Elephas maximus indicus: one gene and its partner. The protein of the gene in region 1 purifies or fractionates together with the protein of each later gene. This does not show direct contact. Links are inferred from orthologs where the notes say so. Each region holds a gene or a part of one and is shown in the gene's direction. Other genes may lie near its edges.

Region 1 (15,627 bases):
TTCTGGGCCTGGTCTTTTGTGTCTCCCTGAGGCCTGGGGAGCGGAGCGGCAGGTACAGGCTCTCGAGAACCTGGCTTCCAGGTGGAGACCCCAAGTCTTTGGCCCCCCACCCTGCTGCCCCATCACCTCTCAGGCAGGACCAGGCAGAGGAGAGAAGGGAGCCCCAGGTGCCAGCCCGCAGGGCCCACACTGCTAAGCACGAGTGAACGGGGCCTCCCTGGTGGGCATCCTTCTGATGGGCCTGTCCACCCAGTCTGAGGACCCTGTAGGCCTTGGCGGGACGGAGGGGGCGGCCTTGCTGCTGCGCCCTGCCGCCGTCACCACCTCTTCCTGAGCTGCCAGAAGTGCCCACCTTCCAGGGAGCCTGGTGATAGACAAGAGCCCTGGACACTCCCATAGTGGGGGTAGGGGTGAGGGATGCAGCTGGCCTGGAAGGGGTGGGATTGGGTACCCAGCAGGGCATCGTCTCCCTGCAGGTGCGACGACCACCACCCAGGGCTCCCCTCTGTGCTCGGTACACAGCCAGAGGCTTTGTGGGGTCTGAGGGGTGATGGGCAGACTCAGGTCCACCCTTCCAGCAGTGACAGTGCTCTGCACCCAGCCCTGCCTGCAAGTGCCCCATCGTCCAGGTTATTGCCCAGAGGTCACCGAAGGCTCAGGCCCCTGTGCTTCCCAGGTAGTGTTGTGGCTTGCTCCTGCTGGGGCTGGGTTACTGGAGCCACCAGGGGGTGCTGCAGCCAAAGAGAGGTGGGGCGAGAACGGAAGTTTCTTATTGGAACCTCCAGGGGGCACTGCAGCTAAAGAGGTGGGGTGAGGGCTGCAGTGAGGCCAGAAGGTTCTTAGAGATGGTCAAGCCCCCAGGATGTGGAACCAGAGAGCCAGGACATGCAGCAGGTCAGGAAAAGGGGGTGGGGGGGTCCAGATGCTACAGGGGTGCCCCATCCCCACTCGCCTGTCTACTCTATCCTCTCTGGAGTCTCCAAAGGCAGCACAGGCCCAGAGACCAGGCCAGGGGGGACCTGCGGCTGGGGAGCCATCACTAGATAGTCCCTCTGCACCCTCCTATACTCTGCCCCGGGGGGGGCACCTGTCTCCACCCAACCCCATGACAGAAGGAAGGGGACCTCCCGCCTCCACCTGTCCAATGAGGGGAGCCTCCTATCTCCACCCTGCCCCATGATGTGGGACACTGAGTGGTTGCCGGGAACTGCCGGGCTCGGAAAACCCCCGTTGTGCTGTGTCCCCTCACAGCACCATGGTGCCACCCCACCCAGGGCTGCATAACAGCCTTGGGACATCCCTAGGCCCTGAGTGCCACCGGGCTCTCAGCGTGGGAGTCAGGAAGGACACCATACAGTGGCAGGCCTACCCCACCCTGCCTTACTGTGTGGGCATCAGGTCAGCATGTTCTGGTGTGATAATGAGCTCCCCATCACTCTGCTCCACAGGGCCCTGCCCCTCGGCCCCTTGGGCGTTGGTTCTGGGAGAGGAGGAGCCAGGGAAGCCTGTGCCAAGGCTGGGCAGGGCCCAAGGGGTGTGCTTCCTTTACAGAGTGGTGGGGCAGGGGGAGGGCCTGCTATGGTAGTGGTGAGCACACTGGCTTCCTCACGGCCTCCTGACAAGGCGTGCAGCTTTAATTTCCAGATCCGAGAAGGGACACGCCCTAACTTGCAGATAGGCAGGACCGAAGGTGGCCAGGTGGCTGGGCTGAGAAGGGCAGCCTGGGTCCTGGGGTTCCTGCATTCACCAAATTCCACCCCAGGAGGCCAGGCCCATGGCGCAGTTTCACAGATGAAGACACACCCAGATGGTTGCTCCAGGTCCCAGGGGGCCGGGGCACTGGGTGGGCTCGGGGGTCCTGAGAGCCTAGAACAGCCTGGCCCAGGTATGTCCCAGGCCAGTGGGGGAGGAGGGTGAGGCTCCCTGGGACTGCTATACCTTTCCTTTCTGGGCAGGTGGCCCCCTGGGAAAGCCCTGGTGAGGTTCCCAGGCCCTCAGAGGGTACCTTCCCAGGGCCAGGCTGAACCCCAGGAGACCCAAAGCCTGGGTCCCATGAGGCCTACACCTGGGACATGAGAGGCGTCAGCTCTGCCTGGGGTGGATGGATCTTGAAGGATGAATAATAAGTTGTCCCGGAGCAGCCTTTGAACTCATCAACTTGCAGATGGGGGCTGGGGTGCAGCATCTGCCTGCTCGACCCTGCCATCCCATGGTGGGGCAATTCTGCAGCCCAGACCCCGCAGAGTTCCCTTTTGGTGCAGAGCTGGCCTGGAGGGGACCACAGGGCTCAGTGAGGTGCACAGGGCCCAGTACATGCAGGGGGTTGCCCAGTGGGCCATTTGGTTCTGGCCACTTAGGTGGGAGTGGGGTCCTGGGAGAGGCCATGCCCCACCTTAGAAGGTCCCCTGGCCTTGGGGAGAGAAGCTGGATGAGGGCGGGACTGGGGGTCCAGGCCCCCAACCATCTCAGAAAGAAGGGATAGCAGTCCCAGGGGTGTCAGTTCCCTGCTCACCTGGGACGTACCTGCTCGCTGACCCACCAGCTCTGCACACCTGGGTGGCAGCTATGTCAGCCTCCTGGGGACACTGAGGCTGAGTTGGAGCTGGGGGGCCTTCAGTGGCCCTCAGTCCTGCTTTGTGCCCCGTTAGCATTCAGCTGGAACCCCTAGAAGCCCACGCAGCAGATCCCCAGCCAGGAGGGCCTTAGGGATGACAGTGTGGTTGCAGGAGCCCAGTGGCCTGCTGGGGTCAGAGGTCACAGTGGGGTCCTTGCACCGAGTCTCCTGGCACCCACCGTGAATCTTCCCACCATGGATCCTCCCTCCCTTTATCTCTGACTGCACTCCCTCTGGACTTCACCCTTGCTCTCTTTAAGGGCTGGGTGCCCTTGTCTGACCCTCCACCTCCCCAGGTGGTTAGCACTGGGGTGCAGGCAGACCCACAGGCTCTGACACCAGCTTACCCACTTCCTGGCATGGGCCTTGGGCAAGTCACCTTGCCTCTCCAACCCTGAGTCTTTGCCTGTAAAGTGGGCATAGACGCCAGGCCCTCCAGGTAGCTGTGAGGGCTGTGTGCAAAGCCTCTGACAAATGGGCTCCTTCACTAGCTCTCTCTTTTGGAAGGGGGAACTGGTCCAGAGAGATGCTGGCCAGAGAGGGGATGCACAGCAGGCTAGGCCTCTTGCCCACTTGCCCCTGTTTACTGTTTGCCAGGGAGCGTGGAGGGGCTGGTCCCTGTTACCAGGGGTTCCTATAAACGGCATGAGGAGGATTAATAATGTATTTATCACACATCGTCGCAGGAGCCGAAAATGATGTATAAACGTGCGGTAAATGTTTTATAATGTTTTTGTAACCCGTTATAAATGATAAATGGCTGACTATGGATGCCGGATCAAATATTTATAACACATTGTGCGCGACACCGGGCTGCTACAGTTCAGGAAAGCCATTAATAATAAAGTGGGTGGGATGTCGAAGTTGCTGGCATGCCCAGCAACGCCATTTGTAATGAGGTGTAAGACCTGGCTCCGGGAAGCTACCCAACAGCCCCCCAACACATGGCCACCTTCTCCAGAGCCCAGGACAGGAGTGGGATCGGGAATTATTTGTGCAGTGGTATCCAGAGGAGAACGTATGCCATCTACCTACAGCCCACTGTTCCTATGCCCATGGTATTAACTGGGCCTAGTTAATTCGTGGGTGGCCCCTTAAAATGGGGTGGTTCAACTTCTAGGCTCCCCTTCCCACCTGGGGATGGGGGGTGGCTTCGCCTTCCCGGGCCACAGGATGGAGCGCTTTCTGACCATGGCCTGGGGAGTCTGGCAGGAGTGGTCTCTAGAGGAGTTCAGGCTGTGAAGCCCGTGACCCACCAGCATCCACTTGGTGGGCTCTGTTCTCTCCCTTCCCTGAGCTCACCTCCAGCACCTGGGGAGGCTATGTCAACCCTGCTCCCCTCCTCCCTTAAACACTTCCAAGACGAGGGACCCCGTGTTAAGACCGTGATGTGAAAGACTCAAGGGAGTTTCCTTCAACAAGACAATAGAGAGGACTCCCACCCATCTGACTCCAAACTCTGCCCTGCTGTTCAAGCCAGGGTTCCCAAAGTATGTTCTGTGGAACACCGCTTTGATGAGACTCTCCAGAAACGAGGGTTCTGCGGGCAGGCTAGTTTGGGAACCATAATAGTGTGGCGCCAGCTCTGTGAAGTCCCTCGGGAAACACTGCGCCGGGCGAGACACCCCTTAATTCTCTCCCTCTCCACTATCCCATGTCCTGGTTTCGCCTCACTGGCCTCCAGGGAGCTCCGGACATGGGACACCAGCTCAACCCATCGGCCCTGAACAGATCAGTGAATTGGGGCTGAATCGCCTGCTGAAGGGTTTACAGACCCCTCCTCCCAGCCCCTCTAAGGCACGGTGCCCAGTCCCCACTGCCACCCTCCTAGGTGCCGGACCACCAACATGGCCTCCGGGAGCTCAGCTGTCCTCCAAACTGGCTTTGGATTAAAACCAGTGACCTGTCCCTCCCTGGTCCCCCAGCACCACCCTTGCTCCCTGAGAGAGGGCCCCCTCCACCCACACTGAAAGGGTGGGGACATGGGCTGTTGTAGCATGAAGTGGGCCAACTGAGGCCAGGTGGCCTGGAGTCCTGCCCCAGATAGGGGCGGCCACTTGGCATGAGTCCACCCCAGCCGACCCTGCTCCTTGGCCCCCCAACCCCACCCCGGCTCAGGGCAGGGGCTCCTCAGTGCCCAGTCCTGCCTGGCTGACCAGGTAGTCCCCTCTCGTCTCTGAACCTCGGCTTCTTTATCTGCAGAATAGATAGAGTCACCCCAGTTTAAGGGGCAGTTGTGAGAAATGAGAAAGTGGGTGTGAAATTGTGGGAGAGGCAAGGAAGAGGGCCTGGCTGGGCCCTGCTTCCCTCCCTGACCTTTCCTCCGACTGCACCCTGCCCCCCACCCCAATTCTCTGGGATGCAGGTCCCACTCCACCAGCCTCAGTTCCTCGAGCGCTGTGGGTGCGTTTATCCCTGCTGCAGGGTCTTTGCTTGTGCCAGCCCCTCTGCTTGAGAAGGGCATTTTTCCCTCTGACCACTTAATTCTCACCCTCAGGTCTCAATCCTGGTATCCCCTCCCCAGGAAGCCATCTCTGGCTTGCAAGAATTGCCCCAAGACGGAGGTCCCTAATTACTGTCTCCTGGTTACTGGGTACCTATCACAGGTACTGTTTTATATTTGGGGGGTGTCTGTGTGTGTCATCTACATCAGCTGCTGGAACAGGCCCCACTGTCCCAGCAGCTGACTTTTTCATCAAGTATCTTGTGTTGAGACCTAACGAACATACAACAGGGATTTTCCTTTTCTTTTTTTCACTTTTTGTGGCTGAATTTTCAACAATTAAGTGTGTGCTGCTTTGATAACCAGAAAAATGATGACACTCCTCCCCCCCCCCGCCACCGAATCCTCTCTCTGGGTCTCCGGTTGGGGTCTGGAAACATCCTCAAGGGCCTGGGGGCTGGAACCCCCTCCCAGACCTGTCCTGCTCACACAGCAATCACCTGCCCCCCAGCCCTTTGGGTCCAAGTGTGATTGTGTGAAGTTGGATTTATTGAGTGCTCACTGTGTGTGTGCCTAGGAGTCCCTAGTTGGTGCAAACAGCTAAGTGCTTGGCTGCTAACTGAAAGGTTGGAGGTTCGAGTCTACCCAGAGGCACCTTAGAAAAAAGGCCTGGCACCCTACTTCCAAAAAATCAGCCATTGAAAACCCTATGGAGCACAGTTCTACTGTGACATGCATGGGATCACCATGAGTTGGAGTCAACTCCACGGCAGCTGGTTTGGTTTTTTAGTTTACTGTATGCCTGCCCTAGGGTGACTGTCAAGGGGGGGTATGACACCCTTGCCGGTGAGGAAACCAAGGCCGAGAAGGGAAGGTAGTTGAGTGGATGTACCTACATCTTCTTGACACCAGATTCCTCTCTAAAGTGGGGTCCCCATAGCTGTTTTGATCCCAGACTGCAGCAGTTGGAACAAGAAGCTGGCGAGTGTGGGTGCCGGGCACCCATCTGGGGAGAGGACAGGTGGGGATCAGGGTCTCACACGGAAACAAGTGTGGTTGATGCCCAGGTGGGCCCCACCCCTCAGCCACTGCTTGGAGCAACACCCACCACTCAGCAAACTCTCAGCAAGGTGGACAGACAGGGAGGAGGTGTCAAGTCTGTCCGGGTTGCTGGGGAGGCCCCCAGATGCAGTTCTCTGGGCAAGGGGTGAGGCCTGAATGGGAGCCTGGGGTGGATGGAGTAGTTGGGTGGGGATCCTGCGTGGCTTCAGTGGCTCCCAGGTGCCCCCTGGTGGTGTCTTGGAGGGTGAGGGGAAGTGGTACTGGGTGGGGCAGGTGGAAGGATTGGCCTGAGCAGAGGCTCTGAGGGGGTGGGGAGGGCAGGGTGGGGGTGGGGGGCTGCACCCGGCAGAGGGTGCGGGCAGAGAGAGGCCAGGGCTGGCAGGAACAATATGCAGGGGCCAGCTGGCCCACGAGGCCCTGGAGGCGTGATAAGGAGACTGGACTTTATTCAGAGGGCAGCCAAGGAGGTTATGAGCAGCGATGGGGTTTGGTCAGGTCTGCTTTCTAGAAAGATCTGAGGACTGTGGTGGCTGGAAGAGCAGGAGGGACCCTGGGGAGGCTGGAGCAGTGGTCAGGGGCAGGGTGACGGTGGTCTGGATGGAGGGCAGCAGTGGTGGGCAGGGGGGCATGGGGGTCTCCTGGTCCTGGCTAGAACTCCCAGACAGGAGAGGGAATCCCTAGGTGGTGCAAATGGGTAACACACTCGCTGCTAACCGGAAGTTTGGAGGTTCAACTCCACCCAGAGGTACCTCAGAAGAAAGGCCTGGTGATCTACTTCCAAAAAGGCAGCCACTGAAACCCCTGTGGAGCACAGTTTCACTCTGACACACACGAGGTCGGCAGGAGCTGGAGTTAACTTCAGGGCACTTGGTTACTGGTTAGAAAGGAGGGAAATGAGGGAAGGACAGAAATGTGTGGTAGGGACATCTTTGGTGGCCCCAGGGAACTGCCGGACACACTTGCTCCCAGGTCACTGTCACCAGAGGGGCCCTATGGTGAAATGGGGGGGACGAGTGGGTTTCAGGAGTAAAGCTCAGTGCTTATAAGTCAGAACTTAGTCATCTCCCACTGTGTTCCTTCAGAGGAGGGTCTCCAGCCCCTGCTCCCCTCTCCACCCCTGTGCCCCCAGCCTGACACCTTACCGCTCTTGCCCTTTCCCTCTCTTACACTGGCTTTTCTGGCTCTAATTGCTGACCTGGGGTTAAGAAAACCTGGTTCCCCCGCCAGCCTCTGGTGAGCTGGCACAAAATCGCCCTTTGTCCCCTACTGGGGACCCGCTGGCAAGTCCTGAGCCATGGCCAGCAGCCATCCTTGGTCATGGGGCTCTCTGTCTGGTACCTGCTTGCATACCCCCTGGAACGGGGAGCTCACCATTACACACAGGCCTGATCCATGCTATGGGGTGGTCAAAATGTCCACACTGAGGTCCCAGCCTCAGTCTTCTGCTCCTTCAAATGGGCAGAGAAGCTGGCCCTGTCTCCCTCCAGGGCCATTTGTGGGAAAACACCTTCCTGCTGCCTGCCAGTTGGGGCGGATCCCATTGGGTGCTGTTTGGACAAGCCCTGTGGTAGGGGTGGGGTTGGGGAAGGGGGGGCCCTTTTACCTCTCAGGTCTCAGTATTTCCGGCTTGGTCCAGCTCATGTGCCACAGACGAGTCCCACTGGAAGAATGGGGGTAGGAACTGCCCCCCCTAGATCACTTAGGGCCGTCCCAGAGTTACTTTTCCTAATTACTGGCAGCACAGATGACGAAAGCTGAAAATTGGAGAACAGAAAAAATTACTTGAATCCCTGGGAAATCCCCTGCCCTGGAACCAGCTGGAGTGGACAGGCCTCCAAGAGTGGAGACACGGTTTGGACCTTGGGCCCCACCCGGAATGACGCCCCCCCCTCCCCGCTAAACACAGGGTGGGCTCTGGCAGGAACAGACCAGGCCAGAAGGCCCTTTGAAGACTAAAATGCAAGCTGCGGTCCTGGCCGCCCCAGGAGCCTCCCCAGGCAGTCCAGCTGCCCAGGGCTGGCCTGGCTCAGCTCCACCATTTCTTAGCTATGTGACCCCAAGCAGGTCACGTGTATTTGAACCTCAGTTTCCCCATCTGTAAACTGGACTTCCCTTCCGCTTCTCCATGATGGCGGTGAGGTAAGGGATGCAGCATTGAAAAGAAAGAAAAGCAGGGAGCAGGGGCAGCCTGACTAGAATCCCCAAGGACTGAGCCCATTCCCTGCACCGCGCGGACCCCGGGCCCTGACTGGGACCGCGGGTGGCCCGGTGGGGGCGTGACCGGAGATGTGGGGGCGTGGCCAAATGGGCGTGGTTGATGGACTGGGGGCGAGGCCTGGCTGGTAGGCTGAGTCCACGATCTGGGAGCGACAGGTTCCCAGCCTGGGGCGTGACCCAGGCAGGCAGAGGCGGGAACCTGGTAGTGGGCGCGGCCTGAGCTCTTGGGGGCGTGACCGGCGGGCAGGTTGGGGTCCCGGGCAGGGCCGTAGCCAAGAGGGTAGAGGCGGGCCCTGGGCGTGGCCGGCTGGGAGGGGGAGGGGTCTAGGCGACGGGGGTGCGGTCTAGTGGGCAGGTTGGGTCCCGGGCCGCGGGGGGGCCTGGGCTGCGGGGTCGAGACTGGAGGGCAGTCTGTGTCGTGGGCGTGGCCCAGGGGGACAGGGGCGGTACCAAGGCGGGGCCGATCGGGGGCGGGGCCGGCGGGGCGGGGCCTGGCCCGTGTTCTGGGTCCGGCCGGGCGGCCGCTGATCCTCTTCCTCCTGCCAACTCTGTCCGAGCTCAGCCGCCGAGGTTAGCCGCGTCCTTCGGTTCGTCAGTCTGTGGGCCGGCCGGGTCCGCGCGCCGGGCGGGCCGAGCCGGGTGTCCCGTCCCGCGCGGTCCGGGGAAGCGGCGAGGGGAGTTTCTCAGCGCAGCCCGAGCCCGGTTCCGCCGGCCGGCGCGCCGCCGCCCGCATGGCCGCCATCAAGGCGCTGCAGCAGTGGTGCCGGCAGCAGTGCGAGGGCTACCGGGACGTGAACATCACCAACATGACCACCTCGTTCCGGGACGGCCTGGCCTTCTGCGCCATCCTGCATCGCCACCGGCCCGACCTCATGTGAGTGCCGGTCCCCTCTACCCCGCAGGGGCGCCCTTTGACCCAGCCAGCGGCCCGGCCCCACGACTTCTGCACAGGGCGGCGCTCTTGCCAACACAGATGGGGAAACTGAGGCCCATACTTGTTCCAGGCCCACGGAGTGGAAACAGTTCAGCCCTGCGGGCTGCCCCCTCTGTCTCAGTTTGTCCGTGGCCAGGTGGAGCTGAGGCCAGAGCTAGGAACTCTCCTCCCTCCCCCGCGGGCGTTAGTCAGCCTGTGACTCAGGCCAGTGTCCTGGGCTCTGGCCTCAGCCATCCCTTTCTCCCTGCCTCTTCCCTAAAAGGGCCACAGGGCTGCCCTCGAGGCCCCCAGAAACCTCTGATTGTTCCAGGGTCACTTGGAGCTTCAAAGGTGGGTACCCTGCCTCCCCGGTCCCTCCAGGCACCTTTGAGAATGCAGCTTTGGGTCACTGTGGAGCCTGATGCAGAGCAGGAAGCCCCCCCGGCCTCTGCACCTTCAGGTGGTGGTGAGGAGATGGTGGCTGGGCTCCCACCCTTGGGAGCCAGAGGAGGTGGGTGGGGAAGGGAGGCCAGGCTATCTTCCCCCAGGAGGGTCCTGCCTGACTCTGAACTGGCTCAGTCTGTTATTCACTCAACAAACACTCTGTGGATGAGTGCCTGGGACCTGGTGCCCTGCGGTGTTTGAATTCACAATGGTTTAGCAGCTGAGGCAATACGCCTGTGTTAGGTGTCTGGATGCTCAGGAAGGGGGATCCTCAGATGCCCACCCACAGCCCAGCCACCTTCTGGAAGAAAGATGACGTGACGTTTAAGAGCCCTCCCTAGAGAAATTTTGGCTGGATCCAGGGGTGGGGAGAGATGTGCACTGGGTGGGGAGGCCTCAGGCAGCCCCTTCCAGATGACCAGCCTCAGTCAGGCCCCTTGCTGTACAGATGGAGAAACTGCGGCCCAGCAAGGAGAACTCCTTGCTCAGGGCCCTTCCCCTGCACCCGGGGGCTGTCCTGGGGCACCACTCTCTACAAGGAAGCTAGTCTTGCAGAACGAGGCCTCTTGTCATTTCTCCTCCAGCCCTGGGCTCCTGCCCTGAGGTTGTGAAATGCTTTCCTGGGAAGTCTCCATGTGGCACTTGGGCAGTGGCCTCTGCTTTGCCTGGGAATCTGGCCTCTCCTGCCCTTGGAGAAAGAGAAGACGCTGTTGCAGAATGAGCTTCGCATCAAAAGCTCCACGCCAAGCTTTGATGCGGGGTGAGCCAGAGACATGGGGGTGAGGGAGAGGGACCTGGAGCACAGAGGCTGGTTGGTAACAAGCACCGCCTGGGGTTGGTGCAGGGTCCTGGGTGGGGCTGGCTGGTGACTGAGCCCCAGCAGACTCCTGGGGGAGGGTCAGTGTACCCTGAGATGTGGGGCCTTTCTGCCCCTGGAGGACTCCCATCTGGTCCCACTGTGCTGGGGGTCAGAACTCCAGGAGTATGTGTGTGGCTGCCCCAGCGTGGCAGCACACTGGGGGCATGCACATGGGCATGCACACATTGGACCAACTGTTAGGGAGGGCCTACTGTGTACCCCTACATGGGGTACTGAACAAGACCCTCTTGGCCCCGGCCCGTGGGGATGACATTCTAGCTGTAGATTCAGACAGTGGACAGGTGAATGGATAAAAACGTAAGGTGACTCCCGGCAGTGGTGAGGGCTAGGACAGGAGGGAGCTGTAGGAAGATGAGGCCAACTGCCCGCACGCAAATGGGTATGGGGGTGACTTATTCGTTGCAAACAGGATTGTCGAACATTCCCCCCAGAGGGGGAGATGATTGACAGATACCAGCATGTAGTTGGAGCACTATAGATAATGGGACATGGTTGGGGTGCAGTAGATATGCGGGGGCTTGGGGTGTCGGTGTGAGGTAGAGGTTCAGGGGTGTCAGTGTGAGGTAGAGGTTTGGGGCTATCGGTGTAAGGTAGGGGTTTGGGGTGTGGGTGTGAGGTAGCAGTTTGGGGGTCAGCGTGAGGTAGGGGTTTGGGGTGTCATGAGGCAGGGGGTCAGGGTGTTGGTGCGAGTTAGGGTCTTGGGGTGTCAGTGTGAAGTAGGGGCTGGGGGGTGTTGGTGTGAAGTAGGGGTTTGGGGTGTGGGTGTGAGGTAGCAGCTTGGGGCTCAGTGTGAGGTAGGAGCTCGGGGGTGCCAGTGTGAGGTAGGGGCTCAGAGGTGTTGTTGTGTGGTAGGGGTTTGGGGGTGTTGGCTGAGAGACTACCATGAGTGTGATCAGTGTGTGTGCATGTGTGGGGTGTGAACACATGTATATAAGCCTGAGCACCTTTGTGCCTGTATCTGTGCCTTGGTGCCCCCCCTACACACACACTCTACAGGGAAGCTTCCATTCTGGCCCCTGCATGCCTATGGGCAAGGTGGCGGCAAGGGTAGGGGTCCCTCCATGCATGTCTCCAAAGCCCCAGCCTCAAAGCCCCTGAGCTGCCCCACTGGCCCTAGCAGCTGCCAGGAGAGGTAGGGATCATCTGAGAAGGACAAGCACAGGGTGGCTGTCCTCTCAGAGGAACCCCCCCAAGGTCAGACTTTGGGTTCAACCTTGGGCTGGGTGAGATCCCCGTGCCCCCAACGCTCCCTCTCCTCCCCTCTCTTCCTTTTTCGAAAGGACCCTCTGGACATGAACATCCTGTCTCACTATCTCCTAGTTTTGCCACCAGGAAGTCCTTCCCATTGTCTAATATAAACCCTTCCTGCTGCATGCTAAGCCCATTTCCTCTTAGAGCCCAAGAGCAGCTGTGAAGAGGGCTCTGCTCAGGTGCCAGACCAGCCAGGTAGAGACTCTTGAGTTCCTCTATCACTTTCTCCCAGTTCCGAGCTCCTGCAATTGCTGGGGCTTAAAGATACGGCCCCATGCCAACTGGGAGACCTGGGAGTTCACCATCACCGTGTCCCTGCCCCGCAGCACACATGACCTGCATTGGTTAACCCCGCAAGGACCCTGTGAGGTGCGCATGGGCCTCCGTTTAGCTCACCCAGGGACACCCAGCAAGGAGGAGGAGCTAAGGGCTTGCCACTTACCCCCCAGCCCAACCCCTCCTCTAGCCACCTGCCCAGTGCCCACCTGGTCCCTGCCCCATCCCAGGTGCTGTAGGCTCTCTGCAGGAGGCCTGGAAGGTTCTGGATGGGCGGACCCTACCCACACTCCCCAGCAGGCACAATCTGCCCACAGGGCCCGCTCCACGATGACGCCAGCCGCTGCTGCCCGGCAGCTAGTTGAGCCTGGCACTACCTGAACAAACAGCCCCACCCTCTTTGCCTTCCTTGTAAACCAGTTGGGCTGAGCTGGCTCCCTGCAGTGTGGCCAGGCTGGCAGCCCTACCTGGGGTGCCGGGGTTCCCAGATGCCCCTCCAGCTCCTGGGGCAGCAGGGGAATGTGACAGGGGTGGGGAGTCTGGAATGGAGTGAGCGAGGGAGCAGGGGGTGCAGGGTCTGGGTGCTGGGCTGGGAAGAACCCCAGAGGAGCTTTGTGGGCTTCCTTCCCTGGAGATGTTTCAAGAAAGAGGGGTGAGTTGTGGGAGGGTACTGGGTGGGGTGTCAGGAAGCTGGGGTTCAGCTGCAAACATGCTGTGTGACTTGGGCCCCCTCCCCCAGGCACATGGAGGGGTGACCCGAACTCTCTCTGAGATCTTTCACAGCCCTGGAGGTCTGCAGAAGGCAGGGGTATCCCCCCAACTATGGCAGGGGCCCCCAAGACTCACCTGTTGTTTGAAGTCAGAGAAAGGCTCACACAGGAGTCCCTCCCACCATGCTCAGAGGCAGCTTTGTGTCCCTTCCAGGGCCAGAGCAGAGGGTGGGCCACTGAGCAGGCTGACCTCACCTCCCTTTCAGGCCTGGCGGTCAGCAGGAGTTGCCAGGGGACAGAGGCCTTCTGTTCTGGGCCCGAGGGCCAGCTGCCCAGACCCCTGCCTGTGCCTTCTAGCCAGAGCAGGCCAAGGAGGGGGAGGGGGCAGGCAGCCCTGGACTCGGGACAGTCCAGAACTGAGGGGGGCTTCCAGAGCTCGGTGCCCCCACCACCCTGACCAAAGCCCCAGGGCAGGACCCCATGGCAGGACCCCAAGGCTAGGCCCTGCTCTAGCTGGGAGGAGGCAGCTCTGGGTGGGAGCAGGCAGGGTCTGTTCCTACTGGAGGGGAGGGAGGGCACGGTATCGCCTCTGTCCATGGGGTGCAAGAAGGGGTCCCGGGAACCCAGCCCTGTCCCTTCCCAGATCCTTTCCTTCCTGCCCATGCCTAAGGCACCTCCTGTTGCCTGCTCCTCCCGTTGCCCCCGCACTGCTCCCTGGCCCCAGCCCCCCAGTGTTCTCCCCTGTTCCCCAGTGCTGCTGCCTCTCTCCCAGGTCTGCCCTCTGGGTCTGATTCCTGGAACTGCTTGTTCTTGGGTATCTCTAGATCTCATCTGTCTGGGTTGGTCTCTCTGGTGTGTCTCTGCTATTTGGTAACTCTTTGGTAACTGTGTCTGTTTTGTGTGTTTCTGTCTCCCTGTGTCTCTGTGTCTCTCTCTCTCCCTCTCTCTGTCTCTCTCTCCCTTCCTCTTGATCTCTGATTTGTTGTCTCTCCATCTCATTCTGTTTGTGTCTCTCAGCCTCTCTCCTAGTCTCTCTGTCTCTCAGTGTCTCTGTGTGTCTGTCTGCCTCTGCCTCCCTCCCTCTTCCCTCTCACTTCCCTTCCCAGTGGGATTAACTCCAGATGTGCCTGGAAGGAAGACTTTTCCTCCTTGCTGCCCATCCCCCAGCATCCATCCCTGGCGGGGCTGCCTCTGGTTCCAGGAAAGAAGCGTCATGTGGTCAGTGCTCCAGGAATTTAGGGGACGTCCATCCCCAAGTGCCCAGAGGCGCTGGGTCAGCAAACTGGGGCCTGTGGTCATGGGTCAGTTGTGCCCTGGTGGGAGGTGGCAGGGACGGTCACAGCAAACATTTGACCATTGACATGCATTGTTCTTAGCTGCGGTGGAGTTGGCCCCAACTCGTGGTGACCCTGCGCGCAACAGAATTAAATGCCGCCTGGTCCTGTGCCATCCCCGTGGTCAGTTCTGGAGGTGGGGTTCAGCACTGTTGTGATCCACAGGGTTTTCACTGGCTGATTTTCAGAAGTGGATCCCCAGGCCTTTCTTCCTAGTCCGTCTTAACCTGGAAGCTCTGCTGAAACCTGTTCAGCATCACAGCAACACACAAGCCTCCAGTGACAGATGGGTGGTGGCTGTGCATGGGTTGCACTGGCCGGGAATTGAACCCGGGTCTCCAGCACAGAAGGTGAGAATTCGACCCCTGGAGCACCGATGTTCCACCGCTGTCATAAAAACCCAGTCGCTGTGAAGTTGACCCCAACTCGTGATGATCTCATGTGTGTCAGAGTAGAACGGGGTTCTATAGGGTTTTCAGAAGCAGATTGCCAGGCCTTTCTTCTGAGGCGCCTCTGGGTGGACTCAAATCTCCAACTTTTCAGTTAGCAGCTGAGTGTGTTCACTGTGTGCACCACCCAGGGTCTCTGACTGACATATACCAAGAACACCAAAAAACCCACTGCTATCGAGTTGCTTCCGACTCATAGCAACCCTGTAGGAACAGAATAGAGCTGCCCCGTAAGGTTGCCGAGGAATGCCTGAGCATTTGATCTGCCGATCTTTTAGTTAGCAGCCGTAGCTCTTAACCACTGCACCACCAGAGTTTCTGACTGACAGAGACCCAGTGAATTCATTCATTCAGCCAGTGTTGAAAGAATAAACCAGTCCTGCAAAAGTTCCCTCTCTCAGCACACATCAGATGGACCAGTTCCTCTACCAGCGTTTATAGAGTGCCACCTGTGTGCCTGGCCCCATCTGTCATATGGTGGTGTCAGACCTCATACAACTTCAAGGGGGAGAGGGGAAAATCTAGGCCAGCCCAAGGCTGATTCCTAGGAGGTGGAGGTCAGACGTATCTCCACTCTCCAACGTTTTATTTATTTTATGAATTCTGACACCAGCCATCCTCCGCATGGCACTCCCTACTTCTTGCTGAGTTCAATAATGGATTGCACTGGCCACACGGAACTCACAGACCACACTCACGATTATGGGGTTTGTTAGGGAAGTAATAGGTTACAACCTGGGATCAGGATTGACTTGGAAGTAACGGGAACAACTCAGGAGACAGGATACAGTTCGCCAATCAGGACAGCTTCTAAATTCTCAGCTCCTTCTCCACCATTCCCGCTGGCAGGCAGGCCTCACTCTTGGCCTCTGCACTGTTCAGACAAGTTGTAGCTTTTTAGCTCTGATAACAAGTACCCGGAAGCATCTCACTCCTCCAGCAAGCCGCCTGCCTGAAGGTGCTCGGCACGCTCACTCTGTGAGTAGGTGAGCCCACTGCAGCTGTCTGCTGGTCCTGTGCAGTCTCCAGTGTTA
Region 2 (15,777 bases), on another chromosome or scaffold:
CGGGAGGAAGTTCCCACTGAAGCTCACCTCTGTACCCTGCCCTTAGAACAAGCCTGCACAAAGGATTAAAGAGCACCCCATTAGGAGGGGAAGGGACTGGGAGCTGCTGTGGTGCCAGAGAAAGGAAATGAGGCAGTTCTTCTTTCCAAGGAAATGAGGCAGTTCTTCTTTGTTTCAAAGGACAGTTGACTGAGGCACTGACTTCTACCTTCCCTCACACTTGAATAAGCTGTAACCAGGAACCTTACCTTGGTTTAGTAAGAACTCACAGTTGGCCCGTGGGTGCTAAAAGGTCATGCTTATAGATTTTTCCGAGATAATCCAAATTCCACTCTGTCCAGTTCTTCTCTGCTTCACCACCTCAGAATGTCCCAGGAGCACTGACATTCCACAGTCCAAGCCACATCTTCCAAACTTCCCCTTGTAGCTGGAACTGGCAGGAAAGTCACCAATTAGATCATCAGTTTTTTGTTATGGAGTCTCTGGGTGGCACAGATGGTTAAGTGCTTGACTATTAGCTGAAAGGTTGACAGTTCACACCTATCCAGAGGTGCCTCGGAAGTAAGGTCTGGCAATCTGCTTCTGAAAGGTTACAGCCTGGAAAACCCTATGGCACAGTTCTGTTCTGCACACAAGTTGGAATCCACTTGACAGCAACTAACAACAGTAACAACATAGCTTGTTATGTCTCATAGTTTTTTATTCAGGTGGGAACCTCCATCCCAATTTTTCTTTGTAGTTATTCCGCCAAAACACATTTTCCCTAAACTGCTCACACCCTTCCACCCCTGACCTCTCCACATTCACCACCCATCCTGACCTTCTGCATGAACTACCCACTCCCCTCACACATGCCATACACATGCCCTTGGAAAATAACGTTAGAGCATGTTGGGGTGGGTGTTTTTGGTTTGCTCTCTCTGCATATTTGCTTCCAGGGTTTTTCCAGACATTTTTTCACCTCCACCCTTTAAAATAACTGCAGCGCTGCCTATCCAGTCATTCTGCCCAAGTAAGCAGCTAGGTGGAACTTCATTTGCAGAGATTAGTGCTGTGGAGTTCTGCTCCTACCTGTTGACAACTCACAAGAGCAGTTAACACTTTAAGGGAAAGTTATTTTATTTCAGATGGAGTCCCTGGGTGGTGCAGTTAAGCACTGGACTAGCTGAAAGGCTGGTGGTTTAAACCCACACAGAGGCACCTCAGAAGACAGGACTGGCGATCTGCTTCCAAAAGGAGTACTGTTCTACTCTGACACACGTGGGGTCACCAGGAGTCAGTTGACTTGATAGCAGCTAACAACAACAAAGAACGAAGTAGATGCCAGGATTTGGGTGGCAAGGGGAAATGAGGGCAGGATTTGTAGTCAGGAAGCCCGGGTTTGGATCCTAGCTCCACACGTCATTGTATCTTGTGTAGCCTTAGCTTTTCTGCAAAATACAGGCGATATCTCAGTTATCGTGAGGATTAAATGAGATGATGGAGAAATTGGCTCACACATATTAGGCACTCGATTAAAATTTGTCCATCCAGACTGGGTAAACCCAGGCCAGTGTTCTTCCTGTGATGGACTGCTTCCAGATCATGGTCGCTTAGGTTTTTTTTAAGTGCCATGTCAAGTGAAAGGGTCAGCAGTCACAGTAGAAAGGCTGCCATTCTCTGCATTGACTTTTTTTTTTCCTTCTGAAAATTTCCTGGTTGATCATCTCCTATCTTACGAGGCATTTTGCTTTCCTCCAGTATTTTAATCAATCGTGGCTCAGTCCCTTGTCACTCATTTACAAACCAGTTCTCTTGTGCTCTGTCACGCGTAGCGCTAGTTGGCATTTTACTTTTGTTTGTGTTTTATTTCATCAGCTCGGTCACTTAATAACATGCCCACTTTAAAAAAAAAAAAAAAAATCCATTGCTGTCGAGTAGATTCCAACTCATTGCGACCCCGTGTGACGGAATAGAACCGTTCCATGGGTTTTCTTGGCTGTAATCTTTACAGAAGCAGTTTGCCAGGCCTTTCTCCTGCAGAGCCACTGGCCATAGTCTAGTTTAAGTCTCTATCACGTTGCATTTACGTGGGGTTTGACTACAAGGCGCTGCATACACAGACACGATAACACAATTTTGACTGGAATTCAACCAACCGTTCCCAGAAACTCCACAGGAAAGATGGGTTATAGGAGTGTATTTTCCTATCAAAGGCTTGAGGATAAATTGACTAGCACTAGGGGAATATCTAAGGAGCCCTGGTGGTGCAGTGGTTAAGCACTCAGCTTAACCCACCAGTTCTCCCATGGGAGAAAAGACCTGGCAATCTGTTCCCATAAAGCATACAGCCTAGGAAACTCAATGGGGCAGTTCTACTCTTATCACATGGGGCGCTATTAGTCAGAATCGACTCGACGGCACCCAACAACAAGGGGAATATTAAATCGCCCATATCTAGGACTAAAATCCTAAGTTTGTGCAGCACCTCCTAGCACCACATTTCCCATGTGTGCCTCATAATAAACCCCATAACCCCATGACAGATGGGAAAACTGAGACCTAGAAAGCTTAGATAAGTTAGGCTTAAATCCAGGTGTTGACTCTACAGTTGCCAAATTTAGCAAACTAAAACAAAAAATTAGGACACCGAATAAAATTTGAATTTCAGATAGTTGATAAGTAATTTTTGGTGTGTCTCAGGCAACATTTGAGGCATACTAAAAAATTATTTGTTGTTTATCTGAAATTCAAATTTAACCGAAAAACCAAAACCAAACCCGTTACTGTCAAGTTGGTTCTGACTCATAGCAACCCTATAAGACAGAGCAGAACCGCCTCATAGAGTTTCCAAGGAGCGCCTGGTGGATTGGAACTGCCGACCTTTTGGTTACAGCCATACAGCACTTCACCATTATGCCACCAGGGTTTCCAAGTGCCCTGTATTTTATCTGACAACGCTTCTTACTCCCAAATTTTGGTACGTGGTCCCTGCCTAGTATTCCATGGTGTGCTGTTGTAATTAAAATTCAAAGTATTTCCTCTGGTATGGCTTTCACTCTGGCAGTTTGCGGTTTAGACACTTCCCCCCGCCCCCCACCCCTTAACAATTTGTTAAAGGAAACAAAGATGTTTAACAATGGTACTAATTTCTTTTTCTCTTCACTCTTAATCCTCACCAGAAAAACTTGCCCAGGCCAAAGAAGAGAACGTGGGCTTACATCAGACACTGGATCAGACACTAAACGAACTTAACTGTATATAACCAAAACAGAAGAGTTTTGTTCCAACAGAAATTCCAGAGCTCCGTATCTTTCTCTTCTCTTTTAAGAAGTTTCTTTTGTTACTGCATCTTCTCTTTGCTGGAAATGTTGAGCAAATTAGGAATACATGACCAAATATTTTGTATCAGAGAAGCTTTGAGCACCAGTTCAATCTGATTCCTTCCCTTTTTTCAAATGGCACCAGCTTTTTCAGCTCTATTTTTATCCTTAAGTTGCATTTACTTCTAAGATAGACAGGGTATTTTATATTGAGCATACTCTAAAAAAAAAAAATACTCTCTTCAGATGAGGGCATTTGGCTCCTGGGAGAATAGACGACCCCACACTTTCAAGAACACAGACTCGAATATCTAGTCATGAGTTGATTTAAAAGGCTCAAGAATAAAGCCTTCTGGGCCACCACTGATCACACTACAGGAGGCCAGGGACCATCACTTAATATGGGTGGGGATTTTCCATCCAGAGCCAAAAAAAAAAAAAGGGACTGTAGTGGGAAGTCATAAACCGCAGACAGATTAGCCTAATCATCTTGGCCCTTTTCCACACTCCACCGGGCAAACATCCTCTGAGTAGTCAGCATGAGAATGCTTGGGAAATAGTCATAGTAACAATGCAAATGTTTGCTGGACAATCCTTGATGTTATGCTCTTCTACATGTTTCTTTCATTCTAAAGTTGGCCTTTGAGAAGATGTCTTATTCCATGCTTGTCTGCTGTGATATGAGGCCATCTACTCAGCAGGAATGATATGGTGTTCAGTCCTGCCCAAGGCTGCCATGTCAGAAGACTGCTAGCCACCAATAAATTGGACCAAAGAGACCAAAGAGATTTTTCTATTAACAAACATTGGGCAGAAGGGGCCTCTATGGCAGCAAAGTAGAGATGAAAAAATAATTGGCCCAACTTCATCTCCTCCATACTTCAGGGAATGGCAGATGGAAGATTTACTGATTTAGGACTTCATTTCCTTCTTCGGGACCAAGTTAATAAAAGACCAAGAAACTCCTGATTAAACTGGATAATGGAGTATTTTGTAGACAGGGCTGCACATATTGGCTTTGTTATATTTCTGCTTTCTCAGTTAACATCTCAGAGCTCAAACATTCCACATTCCCCAGCAGCGTGGGGGCCAACTCAAGTTTACAATTCTGGACAAAATCACCCTGCTTCTAGCTTATCCACAACCCCTCCCCTTCACTCCTATTTATTAAGCATCACACTACCAGGAGACACACTAGCAAATTGTGCAATTGAATAAAACCCACACTTTTCATTTAGATTCTTGCAACTGTATCATATGTAATAGTATCTCTTTTTCTACATTTTGGTCAAATAAATTTTTACATAAACTACAACTTGTGTCAGTTTTAGAATGTGTGGGCCCATACCAGCAACTTTGCTTCTCAATATTTGGTCAATTGATGGGAAGGTAACTGTGCCAAGAACTTAGCAAATTTTACTGGCTTTATATCATGACTTCATGATTCAACAATTATGTTCTTCATATTACAGATGAGAGCACTTTGTCTCAGTAACACAAAAGCTCCTGTTCTTAGTTATCCCCAATCTTGCCTGAACCAGGCTATCAAGAATGAGTAGAATTTTAATAGATGGTGATAGGAGCAGGGAAGATGGCCCACGTAACCTGAGTCAGGAAAGCACAGGACCTGTTTGGTTAAGACCTTCTGTGTGTTGCAGAAATAAGAAAGCTGGATAGGCTGGGTCCAGACTGATGAAAGCCTAGATTTAACTTAATTTGGTCTAGAGTGCAGAGCCACGGAAGACTAAGTACTGCATTAGGAAAATCCATTTAGCATTCATTTTAAGAAAGGATGTCAAAATCGACTCTTGAAGGCAACGGGTTTGGGGCTTTTTTGGGTTTTAAGGGGGGGTAAGAAGCCTTAGTGATGCAAACAGCTCAGCTGCTAAACAAAAGATTGGCGGTTCGAATCCAACCAGCTGCTCCGAATCCAACCAGCTGCTCCGCAGGAGGAAAAAACCTGGCAATCTGCTTCCATAAAAGATTACAGCCAAGAAAACCCTATGGGGCAGTTCTACTCTGTCACCATGACATGAGTCGGAATTGACTTCATGACACCCAACAACAATGGGAAGGGTGTGGCAGACTAGAGGCAAGAAGACCAGGATAAGGACAGTGGTTGCCAAGGAACGGGAGGAAAGAGACGATCTGAAGGAAGCAACCTCAAGAGTGAGCTGACGGAACTTGGAGTGTCCAAGATGACTCCAGTTTCACTGCCTGAATTGCAGTCCCTTTATTTTGGGGGAAGGAGCCCTGGTAGTGCAGTGGTTAAAGCACTCAGCTGCTTACTGGAAGATCAGCGGTTCGAACTCACCAGCCTGTCTGCTTCCTTAAAGATTTACAGCCTTGGAAACCCCATGTTCTAGTCTGTCCTGTAGGGTTTCTATGAGTAGGAACTGACTCAACCACAACGGGTTATTTCAGGGGAGGGCAGGTGGAGGAGGGATCAAAAAGAGAAGTGAAAGACGAAAAAATTAAGTGCATATGCAAACAGGTTTCTGTTAACAACTACAATTAAAAACATATTAATTTGACATTTATCTAACACTGTCCGTTGCCTGGGTGGCACAGATAGATGGTTTGTGCTCAGGTGCTAACCAAAAGGCTAGTGATTTGAACCCACCCAGCAGCGCCACAGAAGGCCTGGTGATCCGCTTCTGTAAAGGTTACGACCACCAAAAAAAAAGCCATGGAGCTCAGTTTCACTCATGGTGTTGCCACAAACTGGAATCTACTCGACGGCAACAGGCTCTTGTTTGCTGGGAATATCACTGAATAAAGTATAACCCCCTTCTCTATGTGTGCTACCATTGTTAGGACTGAAGTTACCCCTTACGTGTCTGTTTTCTCCCTTCTTGCCACCCACTTAGGCTGTAATCTCAGGATACTGTTTTGGTCATCCTCATGCCTCAGCACTTGGCTTAAGCGATCCACGCTTCTTTAACCTGTCTCAGCTCAGCTCTTGGGGAGTTCCCAACCCCATGAGGTATCGGTGAATCACAGGGTGAGGTGAAGACTAGATTATGTGGGGTGTACGCTAGGTTAAAGACTGGGGTGTTATGCTGCTGGGGGCTCTCTGAAGGATTTTAAGCAAGGGATGGATGTAATAAGGTAAGTGTTTTAAAGTGAACATTCTACAGGGTGGAGGCTGGATTAGAGAAAATGAGCAGGAAGACCAGTGGAGAAATATAAGGACCTGACTGTAACAAATGGAAATGGAAGAGCAAAATTCAAGAGCTATTTAGAAGCTCCAGGATGCAAGGGGTGAAAGATGTCAGAGACTTAGGTTTCACAGAAGGTAATTCAAGACACGCATGTCTGAGTGGAAGTTGTTGTCTGCCATCAAGTCAATGATCCAAGCACAACAGAATAAAACACCGCCTGGTCCTACGCCACCCCCCATGATCCGTTTCAGATCAGACCATCGTGATCCATAGGATTTTCATGGGCTGATTTTTGGAGGCAGATCACCAGGACTTCTTCCTAGTCCATCTGAGTCTGGAAGCTCCACTGAAACCTGTTCAGCATCATAGCAACATGCAAGCCTCCGCTGACAGATGGGTGGTGGCTGCACCTGAGGGGCATTGGTCAGGCATCAAATTTGGGTCTCCCACGTAGCGAGAATTCTACCACTGAACCACCACTGCCCTCACCTAAGTGGAAGATGAGCTCAGTTGTGGACATGTTAAGTTTAAACTATCTTTGGCAAACCCACTCGGACATGCAAGCATGACTGGACTATGGGTAAAGAACCGAGAAATAGTGTGGAGATACTGGAAGAAAGGACTTAGGACAGAAAGAACCATGTGGAACACCGACACTTAAGGAACAAGAAGTTGCTAGTTGCCATTGAGTCAACTCAGACTCATGGCAACTCCACGTGTGTCAGAATAGAACTATGCTCCAGACAGTTTTCAATGGTTGATTTTTTAGAACTAGGTCACCAGGCTTTTCTTCTGAGATGCCTTGGAGCGGGGGAATGGAACCTCTAAACTTTGTTTGCAGCCAAGCATGTTCACCATTTGCACTGCTCAGGGACAAGCAGAGACCTCCAAAAAAGACTGCAATGGAATGAGACGCAGTACCCAAGAAAGGGAGGTAGGTGGTAGGAGAAATGAGGTGTCAAGAAAGAGAATTTCCAGAGGGAAGGTGGTCAATAGTATAAAAATACCACAGAGGGTAAGGCCTGTGAAGGTCAATGGCTCTGGCTGAAGTGTTTCTTGACCAGAACTAATTAGCAGATGAATAAGCTGGGGTGGAAGGGAGTAGGAGAAGCTGGGGCCATCTTCTGGAAAATCCTCAGGCGAGTCTCCAGGCTTCTCTGTGTGCTCCAGCAAGTGATGTGAGGCCCTGAGCCCAAGCACGCAGTTGGGACCATCAATCTCTGAGAATCAGGAAACCATATTGACCAAGAGCTTCTTGCTGGTTGCTGTCAATTCCGACTCATGGTGATCGCATGTGTGCAGAGTTAGAACTGCTCCATAGAGTTTTCAAGGCCACGACCTTTTGGAAGCAGATTGCCAGGCCTGTCTTCAAAGGCACCACTGAGTGGGTTCGAACTGCCAACCATTTGCCCCCTTGGCCTCCTGAAAAAGGATATTGAGAATGATTGTACAACTCAAAGAGTATAATCAAATGTCACTGATATACATGTAGAAATTGTTGAGACGGTGTATGTCTTGTTACCTATATTTTCACCACAATAAAATTATTTTAACGAATAGTAAAAAAAAGTTTGGCCTCTGAGTCTTACAGGTCTGCATTCAAAAACCAACTTCTCACTTTGGACCCTGGGAAAGTCACTTAACCTCCCTGGCCTCAGTTTCCTCACCATAAAACGTGGATAAACAATACCTACCTTATGGGTTGGTGTGGCGGTTAAATACATAAAGCGTTGAGAACACTGCTAGGCACGGAAGTACTGCTCATAAATGTTACCTATAATTATCCTTCATGCCCTTGAGGGTCTTGAGACACTCCCACACCCACCCGCACCCCAAGTGCAGCTCTGAGAGCTGACTGGGCACAGGCGGCCGAGTCTAGGCTGAGGCCTCGAGGCAGAGTTGCCAGACCAAAAACCAAGCCAAACCGACTGCCGTCGAGTAGATTCCGACTCTTAGCGATCCTAGAGGACAGAGTAGAACTGCCCCGTAGAGTTTCCAAGGAGCGCCTGGTTGCCGACCTTTGGTTAGCAGCCGTAGCACTTAACCACTAGACCACCAGGAAACCTCTAATTAGGTCAATTAGGTCGGAGGGCTGGTCCTGAGAAGCCTCAGGGGCCCTGAGGGCGCAGCTTGGGGCAGTGAGGCCACTGAGGTGGCAGAGGCCGGGAAGCCTCAGGTAGGTTCCTCGTCCAGCACTGGGATCTCCAGGGGCCTCTTTCCGACTGCGACGTACGCCCCTTGTTTCCCTGCTTTCCCGAGACGACGACGCCCCCCGAACCGTTCCCTCCCGCGCTCGCCCCAAAGCCTGCTGAGGCTGCGCAGGCCGTCGGGGCGGGACCAGACGCCCTTGCGCGCGTGCGCCCTCTGCTGGCTCTTAATGGTCTCCCAGCACGCATACGCACGCGCCACAGGCCCCCGCCCCCGGGCTGCCAGCGCGCGGGGCCGTTGGCGACGATTCCCGCCCTCCCTGTCCCATAAGGGAGGGAGGCGGGGCCGCCCCAGAGTCGGGAAGAAGCTGGACCATGGGAGCCACGCCCACGTCCCGTTCCCCATTTGAAGCCCCTCAACTCCGCACCGCCAGCCAATCGCAGCCCGCTCTGACCCGAGCACAGGCCAATGGGCAGCACGCTCGTGCCGCTTCCGGCTCCGTGCTCGGTTCGCCCCTTCCCTGGTCTCCGCGCGCAGGGCTGAGAGCGGGTGCGGGCGTCGGCCGCGGTGACGTACGGTGGGCCGGCAGCCAATGGGGGGCGGGCTCGGCGCTGATGGACGGGGCGAGCGTCCAGTGGCGAGGCGCTGGCCGCACTTCCCGTCGGGGAGAGAGTGTAATATGGCGAAGACCTACGATTACCTGTTCAAGCTGCTGCTGATCGGGGACTCGGGGGTGGGGAAGACCTGTGTCCTGTTCCGCTTCTCCGAGGACGCCTTCAACTCCACCTTCATCTCCACCATAGGTAGCGTGGCCGGAGGGCGGCCGGGGGCACGGGAGGCTCGGGCCGGGCGCTCGCCTGAGGGGCCGGGACTGAGGGAGAGATCAGGGCGGACGGCCCTAGGGGTTCTTAGAGGCTCGAGGGGGCCCTTGGGACGACGACCAGCCACCTCCACCACCGTCGGGGATTCCCGGGCCCTGGGAGCAGTGGGGGGAGCCAAGTGCCCATTTTGCAGATGAGGAGACTGAGGCCCCGATCTTCAGCCCGCTCGTCGGGGAGTGTATGCCCTGGGCTGAGGTCTTCGCGCCTGTCATTGCGTTCAGTTCTTGCAGCAGCCCTCGAAGCCGTTCTTTGGGGGTCCCCATCTTACAGAAATGGAAACTGAGGCATAGGAAGTTAACTGTAGTGAAAGGACCATGTCAGCTGACTTCATTGACCATTTACTCTTTGCCAAGCGCTTTTTGCACGTTATCACCCTCTCTGCTGTCCTCTGGGTTAGGTGCTGTTGAGAGCCCCGTCTGCTGGGATGAGGAGTTTGAGGCTCAGGGAGAGAATAGGACTTGCCCAAGGTCACACAGTCGGTACGTGATGAGGGTGAGATTTGGACTCAAGTGTCTGACTTCAAAACTCAGGCCCAACCATGCCAAATAGATGCCAGCATGCACCTGCAGGACAGGCACAGGACCCCAGTCTGCACCTGTCCAGTTCCTAACCTTGGAGAGATCAGGGGCTGACCCTGTATCCTCCTTGGGTAAGTTTTCCTCTAGAAGGAATGATGACAGGGAATCAGGAGCTTTTACTTTCCTGCCTTCCATCCCTCAAGAGTGACAGCAATGGCTAGTGACAGCCGCTGCCCTGGAGCCTGTCATCACCAAGGTTATGCCAGGTAAAAGCCTCAATGAGAAACTGAAATCAGCCGCTCCCACAGACAGCCCTAACTGCCCTGTTGCAAGGCCCAGGACACAAGTTGTCACTTTGAGAAACAGCCTTTTCCACAGAGCCAGCCCACGTGGTGGTTGAACAGAACCGGCCTGTTACATCTTGGCTCTGACATCCATCAAAGTGAAGCTGGCTTCTCTTTGTGCCACAAAAATTTCATTGCTTACATTAAAAAGTTCTACTGGGAATAGCACAGATTAAGTGAAGTAGCTTTGCATGGTAGTGGGGATGTGGGGGACAGTCACTAAACTGAGGTTGTTGCTGTTAGCTGCTGTCAAGTGAGCCCCAACCCACAGTGACCTCACACACGCGGGAATGAAATGCTGCCCCGCCCTGCACCATTCTGATGATTGGTTGCAGATTGGACCACTGGGATCCATAGGGTTTTCACCAGCTGACTTTCAGAAGTTGATCACCAAGTCTTTCTTCCTAGTTTATCTTAGTCTAGAAGTTCTGCTGGAACCTGTTCAGCACCATAGCCACACACAAGCCTCCACTGACAGATGGGTGCTGGCTGTGCACGAGGTGTATTGGTTGAGAATTGAACGCAGGTCTCCCACGTGGAAGGTGAGAATTCTACCAGGTGTCAGGTAGAGAGAATTAGACTGGAAGCCATCAGACCTGGTGTCCTATTGCTGTTTGCCCTTGAATAAGCCACTTGATTTCTCTCAGCTGTTTCTTCTCATGAGGGGTAGTGCCCTCGTCTTGGCCAGTGTCCTGGTGGCCAAGGATCAGAATTATATGATGACTAAGGGATTGTTGTCACTGCCAGGGGCTGCCTAGCAGAAGCAGAATGGCTCCTGCAAGGACAGCATCTCACCCTGGGGCACAGGTGTATCTGAATCCTCCCACTTCCCCCACCCCAAGTTCAAACCCTGGGATGGCCCTTGCCTCCCTTCCAAACCAGGAAGTGGCCTTAACTCCTGGCAGACTGTGGCTTGATCTCAACCCATATCGTGCTAATCTTGAGCGCTGGTGAGCTCGATTCCGGCATTAGATTTTTTTATTTGGTTTTTAATTTTTGATCAGAAAACCCAATCAAACATTTGAGGGCTCCAAGGAGGCTGGCTTCCTCCATTTACAGACAAGGAGACCAGGCCCAGAGAGAGGAGAAAACTTGCCCAGGGTCGTACAGGGAGTTGGAAGTGGGCGTTGAACCCAGGACCCCTCCCTCCTGCCCCAGTCTTCTGTTCATTGCATTTGTAGCCTGCTGCAGCCCTCTGTCTTCTTTTGTTGTTGTTAGTTGACACAAGACAACCCTCTATGTGCAGAGTAAAACTGCTCCGTAGGGTTTTCAAGGCTGTAACCTTTCAGAGGAAACCCTGGTGGCATAGTGGTTAAGTGTTAATGGCTGCTAACCAAAGGGTTGTCAGTTCGAATCCACCAGGCACTCCTTGGAAACTGTGGGGCAGTTCTACCCTATCCTATAGGGTTGCTATGAGTCTTAATTGACTTGACAGCACTGGGTTTGGTTTTTTGGTTTTAGCCTTTCAGAAGTAGATCACTAAGCCTGTCTGCCAGGGTGCCTTTGGGTGAACTCAAACTGTCAGCCTTGTGGCTAGTAGTCAAGCACTTAACCATTTGCACCACCCAGGTCACCTTCTAGGAGAGTTTAATTGAGCTCGACCTTGAAGTTATGGCCTCATAATCATTAGGCCTCATAAAGTTTACACTTCCTAATCAAATGGGGTGTGTTCGTAATACCCAGAAGTGTGGGGCAGAGTGTTGTCTCAGAGCTCCACCAATCAGGCAGGGCTGCTTTCTTTCGTGGACCCCTGTCTCTCTGCATCAGGAGGTGGGGAAGGTTTGGGGTAGAGTCAGCTCTGGGCTGCTGAACTCTGAAATACAGCTTCATGCCAAGACAATCCTGTGTTGGCACCGCCTGTTCCTCTGGGTTTTCCTCGTAGATCAGAGATTGAGTGCCTGTTCATTTTCTGCCTGGATGACATTTTGCCAAAGCCTATCTCTTCCCATACGCTCCACTGATCGTTTGTGGTGGGAACTTGGCCCTGTGGCTCCTGGAGCCAGTTCTCAGCTGCCTGGCTCAGCCTCTAACACTTCCTTGGGGACCGATCATTCCTCCTGTTAGGTGGATGGCTGATGAGAAAGTGCGTCCTATGCTGAACAGCATCGCGTAGACCCTGTTGCTTGTCATTCTTTGATCCTGCCACCTTTCACAGAGGCCCACTGTGGACCAGGCATCTGCCCCAGTGCAGGGCTGCAGGGAAGAAGCAATTGATTGAGGGAGGCAGAAATGTCATGAGGCTATAGTCACAATGTGTGTATGCAGGACTGGGCAGGCAGCTTCCAACACGTCTCCAGCCCCCCAAAAATAACGTCACCGAGTCAGCTCCGATTCATGGTGACCCCATGTGTTTCAGAGTAGAACTGCCCTGTAGGATTTTCTTGGCTATAATCATTACAGAAGCAGATCACCAGGCCTTTCTTCTGCAGCACCACTGGGTGGGTTTGAACCACCAACCTTTATGTTAGCAGTCAAGCACAAACCATCTGCACCACCCAGGAACCTTCTTCTGCCCCTGCCATTGGGTTTAGTCATGGAGACACAGCAGTGCTGAGGACATGTTGAGTCTCTGCCCTCAGAGAGGTTATGTTCCTGTCAGGACAGTTAGGCTGATCTTCCTCTTGGTCTCCAGGACAGCCCCTGAGGAGGACAAGGACATAATTACATCCCCGTTGTGGGGTTTAGAGGGTCAAGGAAGGCCTTGCTTCTCAGGCTGGAGGTTAGGACACTCTGTGGGCAGTGGCTGGGCTTGACCATTTCTGCACCACAAGCCATGGAGATTGGTAAGGTCCACTCCAAGTTCATGAAACAGACAAATACACGATGTCAAGGAGTTACAAATGCTGCACGGAACAAAAGCAGGGTTACCAGTTGCCATCAAGTGGATTCTGACTTATGATTCCACGTGTTACAGAGTAGAACTGCTCCAAAGGGTTTTTAAGACTGATCCTTCAGAAGCAGGTTGCCAGGACTTTCTTCCACAGTGCCACTGAGTGGGTTCGAACCACCCACCTTTCAGTTAGCAGTCGAGCACAAACCATTTGTACCGCCCAGGGACTTTAAAAGCAGGGTAAGGGATAAGAGAACAAGGCTGGTCAGGGAAGGCTCCCCAGTGCAGTGACCAGCAGGAACCTGAGTGAGTTGAGGGAAGCCAGGCAGCTGTGGAAGGAAAGAACATTCCAGGAGAAGGAAGAGCCAGTGGAAAAGCCCCTAGGCAGGAGCAGGTTTGGAATGTTCAGGAAAGAGCCAGGGGGCGGGAGCCAAGGCACCATGGGCAGAGGGACCACCAGCATAGACAGGGCAACAGTTTGCGTTTTATTCTGGAAGGGGGGAGCTGTCAGGAGGTATTTGTTGTGTGTGGGGTTTTTTTTTTTTTCTTTAACAGTTTTATTGAGGTATAATTCACATACCATACAAGTCACCGTTTTAAAGTGCACACTTCAGTGGCTTTTAGTCTGTTCACCATGTTGTACAGCCACCACCTCTGTCTAGTTCCAGAACATTCTCATCACCCCAAAAGGAGAACCTTGTGCATGTTAGCAGTCACTCATTCTCCTCCCCCAGCCCCTGGCGACCACTAATCTGCTTTCTGGCTCTGTGGATTTGCCTGTTCTGGACATTACATGTAAATGGAACAGACACTGTGTGCCTTTTGTGTCTGACTTCTTTCACTGAGCGTCGTGTTTTCAAGGTTCATTCTTTTTTGTGGCCAAATAATATCCTGTTGTGTGGAGGAACCAAACTGTGTTTATTCCTCCATCCAGTGATGGGTGCACTGGAAGGTTTGGAGTGGAGGTTAGGTTTGTTCTGAGATTAGAGGTATAGTTTTGAAGGTCTCACCGTGAAGTAGGGAGCAAGCTGAAGGGACACAGGAGGGACATTAGGAGGCTGCCGAGGCCACACTGGTGAAAAGGAATCCAACCTGGTACCCAGGATGAGAGGAGGGCTGAGCCAGGAAGGCTTCCTGAGAGCTGAGGTCTGACCAAGGCCTTGGAGGAGGAGATGTGTGCATGCTGACGGGCGTGGGACCACCCACACAGAAGGAGCAGCACGTGCAAAGGCTGAGAGGAAGGGCCTGAGCACCTCAGAGGGCAAGGTGGAGAGACGGCACCTCTGGGCTGCACAGGGCTTACACGCTAGGCTCTTACTGAAACCCGCTCTAAGCACGGCTGCCTCGGGCTGGGAGGTAGGCACAGGGGCAGCAGCGAGGGCAGAAAGCCAAGCTTTGGAATTGAGCCTACCTGCATTTGGCTGCCAGCCCTGCCACTTGCAGGCTTCACTCTGGGCAATGGCTTTTGGCCCTGTGAGCCTAGAGTTCCCCTCCGGTGGAGGAACAGGTAGCTCCAGATGCCTCCAGACCTGCGTGGATTCCTAGGTCTATAAGTTCAGTGCCTAGCTGGTACCTGCGGCAGGCACTCCAGGGGCTGTTACCTGCCCAGGTTGGCAGTGTCTCTCCTGTGGTTGGCACACTGGGGGGTTGTTACCTGCCCTGGCCAGCAATGCCCCCTTCTGTGGGGGTACTCTGAAATCTAGGGATGCTGTTATCTGCCTGGGTTGGTAGTGCCACCATCTATAAGGGTCCTCTGAAATCCAGGGGGGCTGTTACCTGCCCAGGTCAGCAGTGCCCCTCCCATGGCAGGTGCTCCGGAATCCAGGGGGGATGTTACCTGCCCAGATCAGCAGCACCCTTTCTGACACAGCTTGGGAAATGGCTGAAAATGATGTGCCTTTTTCCTTTTCTTTCAGGAATTGACTTTAAAATCAGAACCATAGAGCTTGATGGCAAGAGAATCAAACTGCAGATATGGTAAGATCCATGTTTCTTTGTTGGCCCCTTTGTCTGGCAAGCACTTCAAGCCAGATGCACCTGGTGTCCCCGCTCCAGCCCCTGTGGCTATGATCTTGATCTTCAGACACCCCTCACGTCTCATACCCAGTGCAGGGAGCTGTGCTCTAGATTCTGGATCAGCACCTTCTGAGGACGTGACTGTCCCATCCGGGTTAGCTCAGCATTCCATCCTGGGTAAAACCTGGCTCTTCTGTGGGCCATGGCCACAGAGCTGACCTATTCCCCTTGAACCTGGGGTTGTGTCCCCCATGCCAGGCAGAGGGGCTCCTGAAGCCTGCAGGGCAGGGAGGCACCCTTTCTTAGTTTCTTGGGGCTGCTAAAACAGAAGTACCACAAGTGGGTGGCTTTAAAGAACAAGAATTTATTTCCTCTCAGTTCTGGAGGACACAAGTCTGAATTCAGGGCATTAGCTCTAGGGGAAGGTCCTTCTTTATCTCCTTCAGCTTCTAGTAGCTGCCTGGTGTTCCTTGCCATTCTTCGGCTTGTAGATGGGTCCTCACATGGCATCTGTCTTCCACCTGTGTGTGTCTTGTGTCTATTCCGCTCTGCTTATAAGACACCACACAGAAGT

What was found.
Region 2: the proteins of MICALL2 (region 1) and RAB8A purify together in Homo sapiens (co-immunoprecipitation; 3 studies listed by BioGRID and IntAct, with this or other methods). This does not show direct contact. The link is inferred for Elephas maximus indicus from reciprocal best matches to the Homo sapiens genes MICALL2 and RAB8A.

The regions. Positions count from the first base shown.
Region 1 is NC_064830.1:95,785,751-95,801,377, reverse strand, and holds the start of MICALL2 (MICAL-like protein 2), read left to right. Parts: upstream 1-8,842; 5' UTR 8,843-9,067; coding exon 9,068-9,210; intron 9,211-11,476; exon of another isoform or gene 11,477-12,193; intron 12,194-13,827; exon of another isoform or gene 13,828-14,028; intron 14,029-14,186; exon of another isoform or gene 14,187-14,447; coding exon of another isoform or gene 14,448-14,494; intron 14,495-15,627. UniProt on the Homo sapiens protein: Effector of small Rab GTPases which is involved in junctional complexes assembly through the regulation of cell adhesion molecules transport to the plasma membrane and actin cytoskeleton reorganization.
Region 2 is NC_064821.1:36,338,364-36,354,140, forward strand, and holds the start of RAB8A (ras-related protein Rab-8A), read left to right. Parts: upstream 1-9,259; 5' UTR 9,260-9,293; coding exon 9,294-9,417; intron 9,418-15,103; coding exon 15,104-15,164; intron 15,165-15,777. Other genes in the region: TPM4 (tropomyosin alpha-4 chain), read left to right, coding at 3,162-3,244. UniProt on the Homo sapiens protein: The small GTPases Rab are key regulators of intracellular membrane trafficking, from the formation of transport vesicles to their fusion with membranes.